Oryzias latipes: one gene and its partner. Each later gene encodes a partner of the first gene's protein in a complex. Links are inferred from orthologs where the notes say so. Each region holds a gene or a part of one and is shown on either strand. Other genes may lie near its edges.

What was found.
Region 2: the proteins of map3k3 (region 1) and ccm2 are in contact, whole or in part, in a crystal structure (PDB 4Y5O), measured with the Homo sapiens proteins. The link is inferred for Oryzias latipes from reciprocal best matches to the Homo sapiens genes MAP3K3 and CCM2. Residues at the interface, in NP_002392.2 of Homo sapiens: Asp2, Glu3, Gln4, Ala6, Leu7, Ser9, Ile10, Met11, Asn12, Asp13, Leu14, Val15, Ala16, Leu17, Glu50, Asp82, His84, Met86, Asn88, Glu89, Leu90, Ser91, Ile92, Leu93, Arg117, Leu119, Leu121, Ser122, Gln123, Asp124; in NP_113631.1 of Homo sapiens: Leu299, Tyr302, Met303, Leu306, Arg307, Ser312, Gln313, Ile315, Gln316, Gln317, Phe318, Ala319, Ala320, Leu321, Leu322, His323, Glu324, Arg326, Glu333, Ile336, Asn337, Gln340, Leu341, Leu353, Phe356, Pro358.

What each region holds. Positions count from the first base shown.
Region 1 is NC_019866.2:4,128,539-4,132,357, forward strand, and holds part of map3k3 (mitogen-activated protein kinase kinase kinase 3), read right to left. Parts: intron 3,478-3,819; coding exon 3,437-3,477; intron 3,069-3,436; coding exon 2,969-3,068; intron 1,814-2,968; coding exon 1,700-1,813; intron 1,540-1,699; coding exon 1,419-1,539; intron 760-1,418; coding exon 626-759; intron 1-625. UniProt on the Homo sapiens protein: Component of a protein kinase signal transduction cascade. Mediates activation of the NF-kappa-B, AP1 and DDIT3 transcriptional regulators.
Region 2 is NC_019882.2:14,044,843-14,048,529, reverse strand, and holds the end of ccm2 (cerebral cavernous malformations 2 protein), read right to left. Parts: intron 3,314-3,687; coding exon 3,177-3,313; intron 3,065-3,176; coding exon 2,929-3,064; intron 2,437-2,928; coding exon 2,379-2,436; intron 2,264-2,378; coding exon 2,128-2,263; intron 2,035-2,127; coding exon 1,896-2,034; intron 1,747-1,895; coding exon 1,442-1,746; 3' UTR 581-1,441; downstream 1-580. UniProt on the Homo sapiens protein: Component of the CCM signaling pathway which is a crucial regulator of heart and vessel formation and integrity. May act through the stabilization of endothelial cell junctions. May function as a scaffold protein for MAP2K3-MAP3K3 signaling.

The DNA of each region.
Region 1 (3,819 bases):
AAAATACTTGGGGGGGGGGGGTTGTAATTAGAAGCTGTAGATTTTGAACAGTGTTCAGATGGCGAGCTCGCAAAAGTGCCGCTCCCCTGTTGCTCGCACACTTTTTCTAACCAGAATATTGTGAAAATTTTAATCGTGACTCGCTGGCTCCAGCTCAATGAAACGATATAGCATACAATATGACTATATGGGGAATGTGGTCATGGTTGATAAATATATCTCTGTTGTCAAAGAAATTCCAACGTTTACTTTGGCAGAAATGACATAGACCCGTTTGTCATCCCCAGGCAGCCAAAAAACTAAAATGGTTGCTATGAAGATGAAACCAACAGAAAAGCCGCCATTTTTTGCAAAAATGTGTTGTTTATTCCCCATTTGTCACATGCAAATCTGACTAGGGGGAAAGAGGGGGGAGAGTGAGGGGCCTGAAACAGACACTCAGCCAGTCAGCGAGGGTACGAAAAAAAAACAACACATTTTTTTCCCATGAACAAACTTTCACAATAAAAGCAAAAACTATTTTACAGTCGTCTCTCGATTGTCATTGTGGGAGTTGCATTCTAAAAACTACCCTCAATGGCTGAAATTTCCACTGTACTCCATTTCAAGGGACAGTGGGACTTACACACTGGTCACTGGTCTCGGGTATGAACTCCCCCTCGCTGTTTATGCTGGTGTATGAACCTTGGCGGGCGATCCTCTGCTGGCGTTCAGGCACATATCCAGGAGGTGGAGAACTTCGCCCAGTGTTCTGAGACCCTGAAGGATCACAGACGGTACTATGAGTATCACTCAAAACACATATGAGACCAATAAAAAAAGATTTGAATCAATTACTTAGTCTTTATTCTGAAAACCTTTTAGGGGATTTAAATAGGAATTATTATTTATTTCATTAAAACAGCTTGAATAAAATGGTTTGTCTGATTAACTTCATTTAATTATTTGAATGTTTTTTCTTAAAACTCAAATCATTTAAAGGGTTGTAATAATCAAAATAGATTCCATCTTTACTTTTCCGTTGGTAGGTGACACTTGAAAGTGGGAATTTCATTGACTGTGATATTCTTCATTTTTTTAAAGGACCGACAAGAGTTAAATGCTTTGGAAAGCCTTTGTTTGAAAAGAATCAAGTCTCAGAATATAGAGAAAATGAAGTTTGGAGTTTTTTTTAAACAGCACTTCTGGTTTTAAAGAATCAAACACTAAAAACTATTTGCTACGATTTAGTGTAACAGTGAAGAAAAAAAGGAAGAAAATCTGATGCAATAAAGGAAAGAAAGAGTGCAACCAGAATTTATTTGCATCACAGACAATAAAAATGATAAAATGAACATAAAAACAACTACAACTTTGATTAATTCAACCAACATTAGTCCCTTTGAATTGATGGTAAACAGGTATTCAAGAGAATGTACCGGTTGATAAGTGGCGCCCCCTAGGTTCAGAGGATTGGTACAACGTGCTGACATCTCCAGTGGACTGGGAGGACTTGATCCTCACCTGCTTGCAAGGTGCATGATGGGAGGGAGAGGTGGCCTGTGGAGGACGCAGGGATAAAACCAGCTTCCATGTGTGACTCAACAGTATCACGATGATGGGAATTAGAGGCGTGGTGTTTTTACACAATGCGGCTTTGTGCTGAAGAAACGGTGTTGGTGCAACGGCGTGTTGCAACCGTACGGCCAGTCTGTCTTACATGTCTGTGCTCCTGAGTGAGCAGCAGGATCCTGATGCTTTTCATGTTGGAACTTCGGTCCAGCAAGTCGACGGCCTTGTCCAAGTCGTCCTGACCTCTTAAAGGAATGGACATCTGCAAAGAAACAACCCAAGGAGGCAAACTCATAAAACAAACAAGCATCTGTACACAAAATTCATAAAACGAGGCAGAAAATTGTGTTTTTATGGCATTTTCCTGATGATGGACACATATAAAAAGAATTAACCTCAAATTTGTATTTCTGAGTATTTCTTTATTCTAATTGGTGTGAAAAAGGAGCAGATGATTAAAAAAAAAACGCCAATTGAAAACGTAAAAAACACAGCAGGTGGGCCACAAGCTCCGTCGTTTTCCTCATCTGAGCTGCCAACTGGCTCAAAACTGGATCGCTACAATAATGCTCGACACTTTTGTTGCACCGGTAATGTTAGAGTGGAGGTGTGAAGGGCTGTAAGCCAGCAAGAGCGCGTGTAAACAGAGAGCTCTCAGCAACAGGGAGGGGAATGGGGGTGGGGTTGCTCCGGACCCCTTCCTTTTTAATAAATCACTAGTCGTTCACTAGTTCACTGATCCTTACTCATTAAAAAACTCTGGGAACGCTGTTAAAATTGATCAGAATTTAGATGCTAGGAACCCTTTTAGCGAGAAAAATCTTTTATTCACATGTAAAAACTTTAAGAATTTAACAAAGCACAAACAATTGAATAAAAACGAAGGTTTAAAACATGCACAAAAAACAACCAATTGGTTCAACCTTTAGATGTACTTGTCTTTAAAGATAATTTGCAAATAAATGATACTTTGAAACCTATTTTTTAGAAGGGGAAATTCATTTTTTAAAGAAATGACTGTGTTTTTTAGCAGCACAAATAAGTTTTCTAATGAAGACAACAAATTGATATATTTGACACCAAAACACTCTGATAAACAATGAGATCAAATTAGATAAAATATGGAATACATAAATGAGGAGCGGTTGCTTACATTAACCCAGTTTCAAATAAAAGAAGCTTCCATGAGTCTAGTTTTTGCATCATCTCAACTCCTTTGCCCCGGTATTTTTTTCATCTTCTTATTTTATGTCCTTTTTCTCTTTATTTGTCCCTTTAAGCATCCACGTTTTTGGATTAACTGGTTTTCTAAAAGACAGCCTCATTTGCAAACACGACAAATTTACAGGAACGTGGAGCGCTTGGAGAAGTGAAAGACAATCCAAAGTGCCGGAGAACATGCTGAAAAGCACTTTACCTCATTGTTCACATAATACAGGTCCAGCAGCTGACCAAACACGCTCTTGACTTTTTGCTGAATTTCCTCAAACTGCACAGGCCTTTCAAACATCAGGATCCTGCATGAAAAGAGCAGAATTCCCACAGATTATGGCAGATTTGTACCAGCTGCTGAGGAAACGCCATTTGAATTACATGCACACGTGCAAGCAAAACACACATGCTGCACTTTTCGGTGGGTTCAGATTCTTTCAAGTACACCTTAAATATTTGTGGTGTGCGCTGGCAGCCGCATGCTAACCACAGTCCTTTCCCTCTTCCTTCTGCAGCTCGCATACCGATCTGGTTTCACTGCAGGAGTGTGCGCTCGCTCTCATGAGCTGGAACGTGTGACCAGAACGGCATGCCTGTGTGTTTACATCTCTCAGGAGTGCATGGACTGCATTTGGATGCATCATCCGTGTAAACAAAACTCAAATAAACTCACCTCCTCTCCCCTGAGAACTCAAACTTTATCCTCACATCATCCTGAGGGAGAGAAATCAGAGGATGAGGACATTCCTGTACAATATATCGCTTTTACTAAAGATGCTTCTCACAAAAGACCATTTAGGAGATCCCAGTTCCACTCAAAACAACTGGGGTGACTGAGTTTATGTGAAGAGTGGAGAAAACGATCCGTTTCAGGGGAAATGGGGTTTACAATTCAAGAAACAAGCATTTGCCTTTTTGGAGACGGTTCGGTGAGGGAGCTGGTTCCGGACAGAGAAAAAGGAAATACGAAGCAAAGAGCGTGTGTCGTTTGGCTTAACCTACAGCGGAAACACAGAATTCCCATCGCTTGGTTTAATCCAAGGACAACAAACTACA
Region 2 (3,687 bases), on another chromosome or scaffold:
TAAGCTGCTTTTTTTCTGAACACTCATGCCAATGTTTTTCCATCTTAAACTAAGAGTGTGAAGAAAACTTACGAAAGCATCCAACATGACATCCGTGATATTATCTATATTTCATGAAAAAATAATTAGCACTTTTTTTTTGTAGATTTCATAAAAACATTTACATTTTTTTAGTTCATTCTTTGACGTAGTGGCCAAAAACGGGCATCTACAGACTGTATTTTTAGTACAAGCAGGTGGATTTCACCGCAGAAAAAAAAAAAGCTTATCAAACCCAGTTTGTCGAGTTTGGTTCAGTTTGACCTGGTTTAGATTTTTACAGGTGAAAAAGCAGAGAAAAGGGGAACGTGAAATAAACACGCCACTGAGAGGCTTTTCAAGAACGGAATGTGCTCAGCATCTCGCCAATATTCCGTCGCCGACACTCACCAGTTAATCCGAACTGAGGCCATCCAGCAGAACCGCTTTGATGGCTCTCTTAAGTTCCACAGCAGCTTAGGTGCACCCAAGCGCTCAGAAGATCATAATGGGATTATTTTAGTAAAGTAAATAAAAAAAAAATAAAAAAAATGCAGACAGATTTATGAGACTGCAACGTTTGTTTTATGCAACTTTAAGATAAATGCAGATTTGCAATACTAAAATACAATCAGTGAACGATCTGTTATTTAATAACCGTAACAAGAGGAGCAACTGTAGTTACAGTTTCTAATTCCCTGTCTGTCAGACAGCTGGCAGTAGTGCTGCAGTGTAAAAGGCACAATAGATGCACAACAAACGGTCTGCATGACAAAACCCAGCAAATCGTGATTGAACATCAGCCAGTCATTAGTGGCTTTGTCAAAAATAACTGGTGACGCTTTTGTCTTTACAGCATTTCCTTGGTCAGTTTGTATAATGAGGAGTAAACACTGATAAACAAATGCTAGTGTAAAGCAGAGCAGTACACAAAAACAAAAAGCATGTTACACACTCACAACGCAAAAGTGAAGTACATGGATGAAGCGGGTTGATATATTGCAGTATAAAATAAAAAAACAGAATCACAAACTTCAGTAATAACCTTCTGAAATATGTGCACTGATGGATCCTCTGGAGTCTGGGCTGTACTGGCTGCAGCTACATTACTAAAAGCGGTGGCAGATGCTGCCAATAAGAAGTACAAAACCAAAAGAAAATCCTTTAGGAATCCACCTGAAATGCGGAACGAGTCAACTTCCTGCTTCTCGCAGACTGCATAAGTGCGTTTGTTGACCTATGGCAACAAGTTGAGGTTTTCCTTGAGTTTGTGGGGAGTTTGAACGCCCTCTTGATAAACAGAGGAATATACGTTTAAGCTAATTTGAGGTCAGTGCTAAGGACCACCTTCATCTGATCCGGTTTTCTCATGCCTACAGGAATGGCCACGCCTCCACGCAAAATGACCCGCTTTTGCTCCCCATCAGGGCGCTAATGCCTCCTGGTCCATGCTACAGCCGAGGGCCTCAATGTCGTTGCTGATGTTGGTGATCATGCGGTCCCACTCGTCGCCCTCGGAGGCCTCCTGCTCCTCCCCCGAGGACGCGCTGCCGCCGGTTCCTCCTGCCGCGCCGTTCCCGTTGGTGGTGGAATCAGAGGCGGAGCTGGCGGTGCGTTTGCAGCGACCGAAGCTGTCCGTTATAATGCCTCTGCCGTCTTTCACGCCGATGGTTTCCAGGAAGTTCTCAAAGTGCTGACTGTCCTTCTCAGGTATGAAGGGGCGCAAACCTACAAGAAATGAAAAGGGTCACAAGATCTCACCAGAAAAAATGATGCAGTAAATTATTAATAGTCATTTTTGTGGTCATTATGAATCCACATTTCAGTTTCTGCCATCGTTTTAAAAGATGAAAGTCGGTGTAATGCAGTTTTTTTACCCAGTAGGAGGAATTTCCTGCTGTCTCCATAGAGCTGTCGCAGGTTGATGCAGAACTCGTGAATCGAAGCCCCGTTCCGGTATTCGTGGAGCAGAGTTGCAAACTGTTGGATCTCCTGCGACGACAGTTTTGTCCGCAACTACAAAAACAAAAGTTATTTTCAGTTGAATACCTTTTTTTTTAAAGATTATTTTAAGTGTTTTCAAGAAAGAGAAAAAAAGTCTTTCTGTACTGTGGTCATGTAGTCCTGCAAAAGCTCTGCGGCGGTTGTGCTGAGCTCTCCTTCACTTGCCGTCTTCTTCTGAGGGGATGCTGGGGTGGATGCAGACGGAGAGTTTCCATCTGCATCCATACTGACCTGGAACGGACTGAGAGAAAGCAGCCTCAGAAAGACACCGAGAAAAACTGTGCAAAGTGATGAACAGAACTGAGAATAAATATCTGAATAGAATTCAAGCAGAAAGCACCGCTCAGTCTACTTACAATGTGCTGTTTTCTGCGTCGAAACCCTCCTTAACGTCCACTTTACTCGAGGAGTCATCTTTAAAAATCACAAAATAAAGTTGTAAGATTTTCAGACTTCATTTGACCTTAAATGTGAAAAAATGAAAAAAATGAGAAGAAAGGATACAGTGATCCCTTGCTTCACCTTTCATGGTCTCACAGATTATTTTAGTTTTTTTTTTTCAGTGTCCTTGTCAATCAAACTCCTCTGTGTCGTGTCTTCTGCACAGAATTTATTCAGCTTGCTAAAACTACATAAATGATCAATTGTGAGCAGATCTTTGGTTTCTTTCTGTAACATTGGACCTTTTTTCTATGAAGATTTGAACTTTGAGAGTTTAAACAAGAAAGAAAACTAAAAATGAGTATAAGGAAGGGGTTTTACAGCCTTAATACATCTCTAGTTCTTGTAAAAAAAAATAAAGCTGAGTAGTTTGCAAATTTCATCTATTGGCGGTTATTTTTGGAACACAACTCCTGCGATAAACGAATGACCACTGTAATCTGGTTTGCTGTTGCGTCTGCGTACCACTGTATGAAGACAGGTGTCTAGTTGGTGTCGTTGCTCCGTCAAAAATGGCTCTGTCCAAGAAGTCAATGGTTGATTCTGTGTAAACGATCTGAAAAACCTGACTAAGCAGAAAACACAGCTCCTCTGCAGCAGCCTAGAAGAAAAAGAAAAGACCAGGAATTTAAAATATACCACAGTTTTCTGAAATATGTCACCTAATGCATCAACACAATGTGTAAAATAACTGTATGACCTAAATACAGAACCTTATTCTCCACTGCCAACACTAGCAGACAGCAGACTTCCACCAAAACGGCTCCACTCTCCGACAGCGAGCTTAGCGTCTGGGACTTGTTGAGATCGGGACAAGAACTGGGACAAGGAGAACCTCCAGAATCCTGGGCTGCATTAAAGAAAAATACATTAATTAATTAATTAAAAAAGAAATTAAAAAAATGAAACTCAGCTCAGTTTTAAGGGCTTATTAGTATTGATGAAATTCGGATCATGAGACAACCATTCTATTACCACCAGGTAACAGGCTAAACAGTTCAACAGAAGCACAAAATATACAAGCAGAACAAGACTCTTTAACACCAGAGATGTCACCGGCGACGCCTACACAGCACACGCTCTTTGACAAACCGTAGCTCTTCAATCGTTCACACAATCAACGTGAATGCGCTGATTCTGACGTGGAGAAAGAAATCCCCATAACAATTGAATAGTTACGGTACTCAAAACAGCGTCAGCACGGGGTTAAAGGGCTACACAGAA